3 linked regions of the Xenopus tropicalis genome follow. The protein of the gene in region 3 interacts with the protein of the main gene of each other region in a biochemical or structural test. Links are inferred from orthologs where the notes say so. Each region holds a gene or a part of one and is shown on either strand. Other genes may lie near its edges.

Evidence for each region.
Region 1: the proteins of itk (region 3) and khdrbs1 form a complex in vitro, tested with the Homo sapiens proteins (4 studies listed by BioGRID, with this or other methods). The link is inferred for Xenopus tropicalis from reciprocal best matches to the Homo sapiens genes ITK and KHDRBS1.
Region 2: the proteins of itk (region 3) and lcp2 form a complex in vitro, tested with the Homo sapiens proteins (2 studies listed by BioGRID, with this or other methods). The link is inferred for Xenopus tropicalis from reciprocal best matches to the Homo sapiens genes ITK and LCP2.

The regions. Positions count from the first base shown.
Region 1 is NC_030678.2:86,521,138-86,525,250, forward strand, and holds the start of khdrbs1 (KH domain-containing, RNA-binding, signal transduction-associated protein 1), read left to right. Parts: upstream 1-1,259; 5' UTR 1,260-1,263; coding exon 1,264-1,357; intron 1,358-4,113. UniProt on the Homo sapiens protein: Recruited and tyrosine phosphorylated by several receptor systems, for example the T-cell, leptin and insulin receptors. Once phosphorylated, functions as an adapter protein in signal transduction cascades by binding to SH2 and SH3 domain-containing proteins.
Region 2 is NC_030679.2:32,309,739-32,314,051, forward strand, and holds the start of lcp2 (lymphocyte cytosolic protein 2), read left to right. Parts: upstream 1-1,473; 5' UTR 1,474-1,661; coding exon 1,662-1,739; intron 1,740-4,160; coding exon 4,161-4,223; intron 4,224-4,313. UniProt on the Homo sapiens protein: Adapter protein primarily involved in signaling pathways within T-cells, as well as other immune cells such as platelets, mast cells, and natural killer (NK) cells.
Region 3 is NC_030679.2:14,179,382-14,183,561, reverse strand, and holds the start of itk (tyrosine-protein kinase ITK/TSK), read left to right. Parts: upstream 1-1,352; 5' UTR 1,353-2,768; coding exon 2,769-2,906; intron 2,907-4,180. UniProt on the Homo sapiens protein: Tyrosine kinase that plays an essential role in regulation of the adaptive immune response. Regulates the development, function and differentiation of conventional T-cells and nonconventional NKT-cells.

The sequences.
Region 1 (4,113 bases), on a different chromosome or scaffold from region 3:
GATTTTAATAATCAGCCATGCAGCATCAGCTTATATAAAAGGCCAACCTCCTTTTTTGCAATGACAAAAGTAATTAGGGAATATACTGTAACTGAATAACCATGAACATAAGATGTCCAACACATTAGCCCATATAATTACCAGTAAAAGGAGGAACCAAGGTCCTTAAAATAAATACTTTCTCTGGGTACACAGGGTTCCTAATCATAGACTTGCATTACACCACACAGCCAAGTACAGTGAAACATCAATTTTACATCCCCTGATTTTAAGTTTTCCTGCATTTTACACCATCGTTTTTTGGTCCCACTAATAAATAATAAACTTCTGGGAAAATGTAAAATCAGGGATTTTGCGCCATCTATTTCTGGCCCCCTGAAAAACTTAAAATGGGGGTTCTACTGTAGTCTCATTCTTCATACTTTATAGGTGAACACATACAAAGAGAACACATTTACAGCTACAAGGCCACTGAAACGTATCTACACACGTGCAAGTTTCTTTTTTGGAGCCAGAATTAGTTCTAAACTCAGAACATGAAACCTTTCTAAATGACGGGCATTTGATTTTACAACTGTGCCCCCCCTCATCCCCTACAGCAGTGATCCCCAACCAGTGGCTCCTGAGCAACATGTTGCTCACCAGCCCCTTTGATGTTGCTCCCAGTGGCCTCAAAGTTGGTGCCCATTTTTGAATTTCTGACTTGGAGGCAAGTTTTGGAGGAATAAAGACCATTTGTACTTCTAAACAGAGCCTTTAGTAGTCTGCCAGTACACACTGGGCTACTAATTAACCAATCTGAGTCCTTATTGGTCACCTACTAGGCAAGTTTTTGTGCTTGTGTTGCTCCCCAGCTTTTTTTTCATTGAAATGTTGCTCACGGGTAAAAAAGGTTGGGGATCCCTGCCCTACAGTGTAAGTCACATTAAGCTACGGTCTTACAGTAACAAGCCAGACTCCATTATACGTAGAAACAACGTGCCATCTTTTGTCACGTATCTAGCCATCCAAAACACAGAATCCATGTTTAATACACTACGCTTTCATTCAAGTCTCATTTCTTTGTACGGGGAGCGGAAATCCCGTGTTGCCTAGCGCGCAGTTTTAATTCGCTCTCCCCTCCCCAGGTGGTGTTACGTTGCTTCCGGTGGGCGGTGCTAGCTACGATCTCTTCTTTTGTTGAGGCCGTGCAAGTGCGAGCGGATTTTCTTATCGACACCAGCACTGAGCGTATTGCCGACCAGTAACACCGAACCGAGCAACATGGAGACCGAGACCAAATACTTACCCGAACTGATGGCTGAGAAGGACAGCCTGGACCCATCTTTCACGCACGCTATGAGCCTCCTGGGCAAGGGTGAGTCGGGCTCGGGCGGGGTGTATTCATTTAAGGGTTTGGCGTGAGGGGGACAAAGGGAGTAGGCCAGGGGCCTAGGTAGTAGGATTGGAGTAAAAACACCTTTATGCATTCGGGCCTGCTATGCTTGGCCATGTGGCGTGTGTTAGGTTGCAAAGAATAATGGCGGCTTTGAGCTCACTGCATGCTGTGGATCAGTGTCTGGTTTGTCGACCAACCCTCCCCCACGGCCGTGTTTTTGCAGCTGCTGTTCGAAGTTAGACAAATTGGGGGACTGCCTTCCGAATGTTGCTGCTACTGGGTTTCCCATAGGCATATCCCTGTATGATGCTACACACAGTGTAACCCATGGGTGCAATACAGGCCGACTTAGATACTGTTTTGTCATTTCCAAATCCCTTTTAAGACCAGACCCTTTAATTGAAGTCCGCGTTGTCTTATAATCATTGTTTCAGAAATATTTAGGGAATGATATGTTAAACGTGAAGTATCTGATGGAGAAAATGCATTGTCCCCAAATCACACTGTATGGCCTTCAGTCAGACCCCCACAGCCTTTCTGTTTACCCTTTATTAGAATATATATCCCTTACATAGCAAAAGGTGCTGTGTCCTTATTCTTTAGGAAACATGAATAATTTGTTGGAAATTAGTAAACAAAAGGAATTCTGGTAATGAATTCCAGACTCTTAAAAAAAAAAAAAAAAATCCCATTTACATGGGTTTATCCTGTAGGCTACAGCTCACCCACTGGGTTTGAAGCTGAAGCCAGGACAATAGCTGATCAGATTCCCAACTACAGACCGGTTTTGCCCTTCTTGGGGCTCATCAGTGTAGTGCAGGGTTTTCTGATCAGCTTAGGTAGAGTCACCATGTGGTTCTACAAACAAATTAATAGGGTTACCTATTTATTTGTTTGGAAATTAGTAGATATGGGGGCAGCTGCTTGTTTCATATCTTTTGTCTTGTGAGTACATTTATTGTGACCTGCTGTGGTAATCTGTACAATGTATATATGCTGTGTTACCAGTTCTGTGATGTAGCAAGGGAATGAGATCCAAATGGCACTGTTTGCCCATGGTTTCTACATAAAAGCTTCTTTGTTCTGTGAGAGATACTGACGATTTCCTCCCTCTGTTGGCAGCTGTTCTTTGTCTAGAGGAGGTCAGGGTATAAACCCCATTGTATGTGCAAGAGAGAATTTATTTCTGCTACATGTTAACATGTTTAACATTTCTTAAACATTTCCAACAGTCCTTGTAACTGAAAAGTTTTAACATTGATTACAATTGTATTGTATGAAAGGATCTATATATATGTTTGGCTAAAGCATTGGACTGTGTGGGGGTTACAATATGTGTAAAAACTGGTTTGCTTTGCAATACCTGTTTGGAAGTGAAGTATGGCGATTGGTCAGTAGTTTCATTTATTTGTATGGTTAGTATTTGTCATGTATTTTTGAAGCTAGGGGTGCTTTGATTTTATGATGGACCACAAAGGCTTGAACCAAGACTTTTTTTAAGGCAAAGATTTCATTTGCTTATTTTTTCCTAGTTATAAGCTGCATTAATATAATGCATTTACTCCTTAGTTGTGCGGTTGTCTTTTGCATGATTGAAAAAAAAAAATGATCGACTATTCCTATGTAGTGTTTCAATTTTACAAATGTAGCCTCGATACCAATACAGACTTAGAAGTAAACTTGAAGTCTATATAATACCAATCAGATTTCTTTTTTTTTATCCTCACACGACTCCTTGGTCTTTACAAATCTTGTGTTTTAAAATGAAGGGCTGTAGCTATTTTTTCCCCTGCAGATTACCCTATATTTCTGTTCTTTCTATTGTGCATTGGGTATTCCCGTTCAGATTTGGGGGGTGGTAGATCAGAAGGATAAGAATGAAATGCATTAGTAGTGTTTGTCAGTGACAGTGAAGCTTTCTTGCAATTTTAGGGTAGCCCTGGTGAACTCTTGTCCATCCTTTAGTAAGGCTGATGTCAATATGCCCCACTTGTGCAGTCACTTAAAGTAATGCTATCCTCCTGTTACTGTGTGCATTTGTTGGGCTTTGGCAAGAAAGTGCAAAAGATTTATTTTCTGGCAAAATGTTGCCCCATAAGCATGGTGATGGGAGGATTCCATCCTTCTGCGCAGAATGGATGGAATTGGTCTTTTTTTTTTTTTAAGCTGGGTGGAAATTGCCTGGTACAGGTATAGGACCCATTATCCAGAATGCTCGGGACCAAGGGTATTCCGGATAAGGAGTCTTTCCGTAATTTGGATCTCCATACCTTAAGTCTACTAAAAAATCAAAACATTAATTAACCCCAATAGGATTGTTTTGCATCCAATAAGGATTAATTATATCTTAGTTGGGATCAATTACATGGTACTGTTTTATTACTACAGAGAAAAAGGAAATCAGTTTAAAAATTCTGAATTATTTGATTAAAATGGAGTCTATGAGAGACGGACTTTCCGTAATTCAGAGCTTTCTGGATAACGGGTTTCCGGATAAGGGGTCCTATACCCGTATTAAATGAAGTTTTTTTTCTATAGATTTTGTGATTGTCCACAGAATAAATATACTTGGCAGTAGGTTTCTACACAAAATGTTGTTCACTCTATGCACTTTTGTTTTATGCTGTGATGCCTTTTAGTAGGGGATACCCCAAAAAAGAGGTTGAAATTCTTGCCACTGCTCAGTTGTGCTAAAATGTTTAAAAGATAATAAAAACATCCAAATTAATTTATAC
Region 2 (4,313 bases), about 18 Mb from region 3:
TTACGCCACCTTCATGCATGCCTTAAAAAGTTAGCAATGTGCAATTCAAATTTGCAATGCAGTAACAGTCTAATGATCAATATTACATTGCAATATGTGAATTGTTATTCATATTTGTATGCATTTTTTTCCATTTAGGTCTTTTTTACATTCCCCCATTGAAGTATCCTTTTTGTAGAGCCAAAAAATTGATGTTGGTTATTCCTGTGAAGTTCTAGAACCTTGTAGTCAATGCCTTACGCCATGGGGCACAGGCCAGCCCTAAAGGTGGCCATACACGAGGCGATTTCGCTCGTTGTGCGATGAACGATTATATCGACAAACGATCGTATGGCGATCGAGTTCCCATACGATATGCCATCCACGGGCAACGATAATTCGGGAAAGATTTTGTCGCATCATTATCGTAAAATACCTACGATCGTACATCTACGTACGATCGATGTCGTTGCTGGCAATCGTGACATGCGCAGAGAACAATCGTTGAAAGACAAATGTCTGACACTCACACCAACTGGCAGATTTTATCGTTAAACGACCAAAATTTTTAAACCTGGCCGATCGATTTTGGGGACGATAATGTCGGCTCGTTTAGTGGGCCGACGATCGTTCGTACACCACCAACTATACGATAACTTAACGATAGCATCGGATCGTTCGCGAATCGGTCGTTTGTAAGTAAAAAATCGGTCCGTGTATGGCCACCTTAAGCCGCTCTTTACTTTGCAAGTTTGAATGATGTACAAATTAGAGGGTTGTGGGGGACAAGTGGGGGGACACCCACATGCCTCCCACCCCTCACCAATACAGTGCTGATTAACACAGTCACTAGTGGCGTAACTACCAGGGGAGCAATTTGCAAAGACCCCTTACTTCTATTTTATTAAATAAATGGATGTGGCCTCTTTGCTAAAATTCAGACGAGGGAATCCTGCTGGATTTGATCACATTTTCAAGATGTGGTGTCTATTCTGCAGGATATGTTATGCACCTCGGAGCTGTCTAACACCATTCTACTGTGTGGGGTATTAGAGCTAGGAAGTAGCACTGAGCTCTAACACCCCTCTAAACCTTTATTCTCAGATGCAACTCACAGACATGGATTATGCCTTTTTGTTACCTCAATAACTATATTATTTCGTACACAATTCCCAATAAATTGCATTTTTTCAATATAATCTGAATTGTAATTTCATGCCTAGTATTTAGGAATACAGTTCCAAAGTTAACAAACAATTAATAGAGAATTGTGTGCCATTAAATAAAGTATGCGCCATAAATTCCCTATTAATAGTGCTGTAAGGGAAGGAGTATGATTAATAATTGTTTTGTTTATTTTTTTTAATGTAGCTACAGCTTAACACCATAAACGAGTCTCATTTGAGGAAGTGGTACAGGAAGTCAGTTGCCTTTTTCTGAGAAGCGAACGTTCACACCAAGGGGAAGTTGCATTTTCAAAAGATGATTCAGTGTAACTGAATGGCAAAAGCTGCATTGTGTATTGTGTCTGTATTGTTTAACTAAAGCAGGCACTGACTACAAATTTCACAGGAATAGACAACATCTTTAAACTTCTTGGCTTGGCCAAAGGGATACTGTGAAGGCAACTGACTAATATGAAACAACCTGTTCTGTAAAAAAAAAGAAAGAAGAGAAAAAACATGGATTTCCGAAGCATCCCTTCATGTTCCGAAGTCAGCTGTTGGAGCCCTGAAGCTCTCATTGAATATTTTAGAGCTGTAAGTACTGTTATATAAAACTATATATATACTGTATGTATTCTGCTGTTATACATTTTACACACACACACACAGCTCATAAGAGCTAAGAACTTTCTGCAGTAGCGGTATCAAGTGGTTCCTATAGAAGTCAACAGGAGGTGGTGAGACTCTGTTTAATGCCAGTAACAACACAGTATTTAGAACCTGTTTTTAGAACCTTAGAATGCAAGCAGGAATGTTTAATGATACGCATTTTGTAGCTGTTATTATCTAAGAAAAGAAAAAGTATATATTTTTTAGTATATTTCTACCACTTGCATTCTAAGATTTGTACATAAAATAAACATATTTATTTTCAGTAATAAATACTTTTTTCAGTAGTTTCCTTTTCAGAACTAAGTTGTGTTTTCAGTTTCCAACTCTCCTAAATATTGTGAGACCTTGATAGAAGGGACCCATTTATTTTGTTCTTGGCTTCTAGCCTCTTATTGACAGAATTGTTTATTGGACTTTTTGTCTCTGCCTAGCTATAGTCCTTCTTACCCCATATGCAATTTGTCTGCTGAAATACAGACACAGCTCATTTTATCTAGATGTTTCACACATTGTGGCATGAACCATATTGTACCATTTGTGCCATATAAGCTCTGTGATGCCACAATGTTTGCTCCATCTGAATGAGCCAGTTTAACCCTTGCCATGTGTTAGCATTCAGGCTAGACTTGTGCCATGCAAAATAAAAGTAATGCTGCACCTCTCTGAGCTCAAATTTGGAACTTTTTGGAATACTGTAGCCTTTTTACTGCTGCTCACTAATGTTTTGTGTCCCCTATGTCCTTTACTGGCTGTACTTCCACCTTTTATTTCCCTGCTGTTTCTTACCTTCGCTTATGTTTGACAAAATGCTTTAAAGGCCTTATAATGGTTTGGCAACAACGTCAAATGTTGAATGTGTCTCTGTTTTACATGAGAGAGGTTTTGCATGTAGTGAGCTATAAATTACCCCCGTTCCCTGTTATTTTTTACTTAATGTTTAAAACAGTTGGATTCTAAATGGGGGGCCTACAGCACAACTGAAGCCTGAATATCAGCTGGCAAAGTAGTTTCTTTATATAAACTCAGTTAGAACCCTGGAATGAAATGTGCAAATTGGCAAGTGAAGGGTGGCAGGTCACTATATTTAAATGCAGACACAACTCTTTTAAAATTGTGTTGTTACTGGGCTTTAAATTAATGTAGTCTCATGCACAAGTCATTAAAAAATGTTACATTATTTTAGAGGTATGGGATCCATTATCCAGAAACCCGTTATCCAAAAAACTCAGTATTATGGGAAGGCCCATTTTAAAACATATTTCCTTCTTTCTGTAATAATAAAACAGTACCTTGTACTTCATCCCAGCTAAGAAATAATTACGCCTTATAGGAGGCAAAACAATCCTATTGAGTTTATTTAATGTTTAAATGTTTTTTTTAATAGACTTAAGGTATGGAATTCCAAATTACGGAAAGATCCCTTATCTAATAACCCCCAGGTGACATTCATTCTGGATAACAGGTCCCATTTCTACTTGTTTTGCTAGCAGCCTATGGAATAACATATTCAGTAACACATTGCCATTAACAGCAATGAAATAGATATCTTGTAGCTTGGCAGTGTTGTCCACTACATATTCAACACCTGTGGTCAGTGGTTAATGTGGTTCCATAGTGGGTATCTTAATGCACACACATACCCACACGCAAACAACATTTGCATTGACTATATAGACCAAAGAATAATACTAATGTAGCATCAATGCTAGTCTACAAGCAATATCTCAAATGCTATCAATGCTTTGTCAAATCATTTACTTTTTTCTCCTGTAGATCAGTAAATTATAAAATATTTTTTAGCAAACTTACTACTACAGTAAAAACTCAATTTTACATACCCTGATTTAAAGTTTTTCCTTATTTATACCCTTTTTTTGTGGTTCGACCATTATATAGTGCATAAAGCATTTTCCTGATTTTATACTATTTTTTTGGTCCCCTGAAAAATGTAAAATGGGGGTTCTGCTGTATATATAAAAGTCTCTCTATGCATCCATCATTTACTCCTTAATATTAATGTGTCATGTATAAACAGGAGAGATTTAAGGATTTTTTGTGAATGAGATAATTATATTTAAATCTATGCTTTCCTAATTTGCTTTGGTATTATTACCTCAACACCATAAAATCTATATGAAGTCAGCAGAAAGCCATTTTATAGAATACAGTATATCATATGAATACCCATACATTGTTATAAACCGTTATTTGTGTCATTATCAGGTATAATCAGTTCTTAAGTTCTTAATGAGTTGGTTACTCTATGTCTATGTAATGAAAATGTAATTAATTTGTGTGTGTGTTTTTTTTTTAAATGCCTTTATGTTTGTTTCCTTTTAAAAGCACAACCTTCGTGATTGTGAAAAGTTGGTCAAAAAGCAAGGCATTACCGGAAAGAGATTTTTGGTAAGAATTTGATTCCATGGTTAATGCACTGGTCTTTTTAAGGCAGTACAGGTATGGGATCCGTTATCCGGAAACCCGTTATCCAGAAAG
Region 3 (4,180 bases):
CAATCTCCGCCCTACACCAAACACTTCCGAGTAGTCACTAGCAACTTCCGGAAGAGGTACGTCACGTTACGTCAGCGCGCTTTCCAGAGCGTCCATTACCTGTTACTATTGAACAATGGCGTGTTACTGCGCAGGCGCTGGAAGCGTTTAACGTGGTGCCAACTGCAGGGGGAGCCGTGTGGCTTCCCAAAAAGAATGTTTTATAAGCAGTATATGTTTGGCTGGTTATAGTCTTTGTACTACTGGTTGTTGCTCTTAAAAGCAAAAACAAGCTGGTTTAAAAGATGTAGTGAACATGAGTCTGCTACAGTATAGGTTCATGGCTTTCTACCCACCCATAGAATTCAAAACAATTCCCATATTAAATAGAACATATTTGTAGGTGCTGGACATACATAAAACATTTTTTAAATGTTCATCTTTATTCTCTTTATGGTGTTTATGGTCTGGACCTTTCATTTTAAAATTGAGATACAATAATGCGTATTTTGTGTTTCTAGGGCCAGTGGCACAATGAGAGGTTCCATGTGGGAAATTGCTGAAATTACTTGTGGAAACTGGAGGGCAGTCTGTGAGAAGACTGGGAGCAGCCTATGAAGAGACAGAGGAGCCTGTTATCAGCATGTGAGGTCTGCCCCTGTCAGTGCTTTGAGAGTGAGCACTAAGGGAATGCTCTTGCTTTTGCAGCAGGGGTATAAATAAATGGCCCCTACAGTGTGGCATTGCCATGATGCTGAAGGGCCAGATATACTGCTGGTGTACAAGTATGCTTGGGAGCTGTGAGCGGTAATTTAGTGATGCCCCTGCTACAAGTGTAGGAACACTTAAGCCCCCCATACACGGGCCGATAGAAGCTGCCGATATGGGTCCCTTGGACCGATTCAGCAGCTAATCGGTCCGTGTATGGGAAGAAACGAGCGGCCTGGCCAACCGATATCTGGCCTGAAATTGTCCAGATATTGATTGGCCAGGTTAGAAAATCCAGTCGGATCGGGGACCGCATCGGCTCGTTGATGCGGCCCCCGAACCGACTGCCCCATGGCCGCAACTGTAATCCGATCGTTTGGCCCCAGGGCCAAACGATCGGATTATTTTTTTTTAAAGCAACTTCCTACCCGATATCGCACACCCGTAGGTGGGGATATCGGGTAAAGATCCGCTCGCTTGGCGACATCGCCAAGCGAGCGGATCTTATAGTGTATGGGGACCTTAAGGGCCGTGGTAGACGGGGAGATAAGTTGCCTGCGAGTAATCTCCCTGATATGCCATTCCACTGGCTTGAATGTAAATCGCTGGTGGGATGGCATATGCCTTGAGAGGAAACTTCCGCGATTACGGGAAATCACGTCACTGCATATGCCATCTCACCGGCGATTTACATTTAAGCCGGTGGGATGGCATATGGGGGAGATAAATCGCCCGCAACTAGGGAGATTTGTCACGGGCGACTAATCTCCCCATCTGCCACGGCCCTAAGGGACACAAAATCACACCTTTAGTGCACATTTTCAAAGCACTTGTGACAGCCTCTGGGTAGTTGTGTTATTAGGGGCATAGTGTTGCACAGTCATCAGGACCAGAATGGAATTCAAAATAGGCCCTGGCATTTTAAGTACATAAAGGCCCAAAACAGCCCTCTAAATAGTGACTGTCTATGATAGATTACAGCAGTCCCTGTGGCATATGCCAGACTCCACAGATTGCCAGTCCAGGCCTGTCATTTATAATGCTAAAGGGACAGATAGTCTATTGGTAGGCACAGGGCAAATATCCTGCTGTGGTATATAGTGCCAGAAAGTCATGCTGATGGATAAAGATGATATTGGAGGGATACACCACTGGGCAGACAACAAATGGAAGCATGGAGAGCTGTGGTAGGTGGATTGCTGATTTGGGTTGAGCTTGGGCTGGGTAATGCAAGCTTATTTGGGCATAATTATTGCTATGGAGGATGATCTGCTTTGGCAAGAGCTGAGTTCAAGTGGAGAATATTTGGCACGGCCAAAGCTTAACCAGCTTAACCAGAATGCTTGAGAGTCCCGGGCCACATGGTAAGTTCACTATATGACCCTACTTGGTGCAGGTAACTACAGGGAAGCATATAGTAATTAAAGTGCAAGTCTTGAGTCACTGCTGATTCTTTTTGGGGGGGGGGTAAGGGCTCACAACATTATTCTCTGCCCCCCAGTATTATGGCGCTATTTACTGACTATAATTCACCAATATGGTACTTGTGGCCCTCCATATTGATACATAAGACATGTAACCACTTTTGTAAAGTTACATAAGACATGTATGACTAAAGCCTTCGAAATATTTAGTCCATTATAAGTTAGTTCTTGTGCTTTTTTGTGAGCAATGCACTTGTTATTAAGGTATACAGCAAAGCAGTGGGTAGAAAAATGTGTGAAATGTGCTGGAGAGAGCCCCTGCTGTACACAAGCAACTTAATAGAAAAAAGAAGGATGTGGTTGAAGCTTGAGGTCATAAAACAAGTTTTTCACCTTGCTCTGCTCACTGATGTCTCGATAAGTGACTCCCCCGCTCTCTATGGCAGCACCCCTTCCCCTACTCTGCCTTCTTTTTGAGTATTTCAGCTAACAGTCTCATGCAGTCATGTGATTGTTCATCCTCTCTCTTAGAGTGTTTTCTTAAAGGACTAGGTGGTCTCATTTAATTTTTCTTGAAAAAAGTAAAAAACAAATATTTTCTATGTGATCTGCCTCGGGGTCTTCTGGTGACTCTGGGAACAGGGTCTGGTATCCCAGATGAATAACCCTGTTATCCTGCAACAACAGCTTATTAAGAAGTCCCAGCAGAAGAGAAGGACGTCCCCAGCTAACTACAAGTCCAGGATCTTCATCCTGACCCACTCTTCACTCAACTACTACGAGCATCGGCAAGGGGTGAGCGAATGTAGCACAAGGGTTTGTAGGGCATTAGGTTGGAATGTGGTTTCATTCTTTGGCTTCTTTGTTCACAGTGTTCCTACAAACAAGGGTCTGTGTGAATGTTGTATTGATATGAATGCTTGTGTGTCTTATTAGGGTTGGAGCTACATCCTTGTCTTTCTCTTTCTGCCCCATCTTACTCCCTGGGTTTTTCTCTTGTCTTTATCATACCAGTAAGGACCCATGTAGCAATGTTGGTTATATCCTTGACATGCGCTAAGCTTAGTGCTTCAGCAGTTTTGTCTTACTGTACCAAAGGACTTCATAAATATATTTTAATCTTTTGACCTCAGTACAAAACTGTGCTAACAGTGTTAACAAAAATGATAGGCCTCTAAATAAACACCTGCCTCAATATTGGATGTCCTGACTGCAGGCATATGCATTCATAACGCAAACCTCCTTGGGCTTTATTCCACTATTCTGATTCATAGTCCAGATAAAGTTATTTCAGTTTTATAACTACAACTTCCAGCATTCTTCTTGCTGGGGCATTCTTGCTGGAAGTTGTATTTCTCTAACAGCTGTTTCATCATTAGTTGCTTATATCTGCTCATTATCATAAACCATGTTACATTGTTTATTATGATATAGTAGAGTAACTGGAGGTCATTTAAGAAAAAGAAAAAAAAATTGCAAGGTGCAAAGCCAATCAGCAGCAAGTGCAGGCCAGCCCTGTCTTTACTGCCTGCCATACAGGCAGTTGCGTTTCCATCTGAAAAGTTTGTTTTTGTTGCCCTCCTGATGCAGTGGGCTTGGGGCAAATGTCTTTTCTGACCCAGCCCTTTGTGGTTTGTACCTGTATTTTAGTAATCATGTAATCATGTTGGCTTGAAGTGTATATTTTACAGTTATAACATTAACACAGTTACAAATTAAATGGTGGTGGAAAAAACACACATGTCCATCAATGTGAACCTTTTTGTAATTTCTGCCTTCTAGCATCTCCTGTTTGCCCTAGAGGGGGGGAAATTTTCTTCTTAACTACAAAAAGGGCAATCGAGCCAGTACCTGCATCCAGTGGTGTATCTACAATGTGCCTCAGGCACCCCTTCCCCATAAAAAAAATCTTTGGAGGGGCACGGCATGCAAAGCAAGCCCTACCTGGCCCCCGCATGCTCCTGTACCCTGCTCGTGCCACGTTAGGTAGGAGAGAGCAGTTGGGGAAGGGGGATTTCTAGCACCTACGGAAGAAGCAGATCCCATGGTCTGGGCCCCCCACAACCACA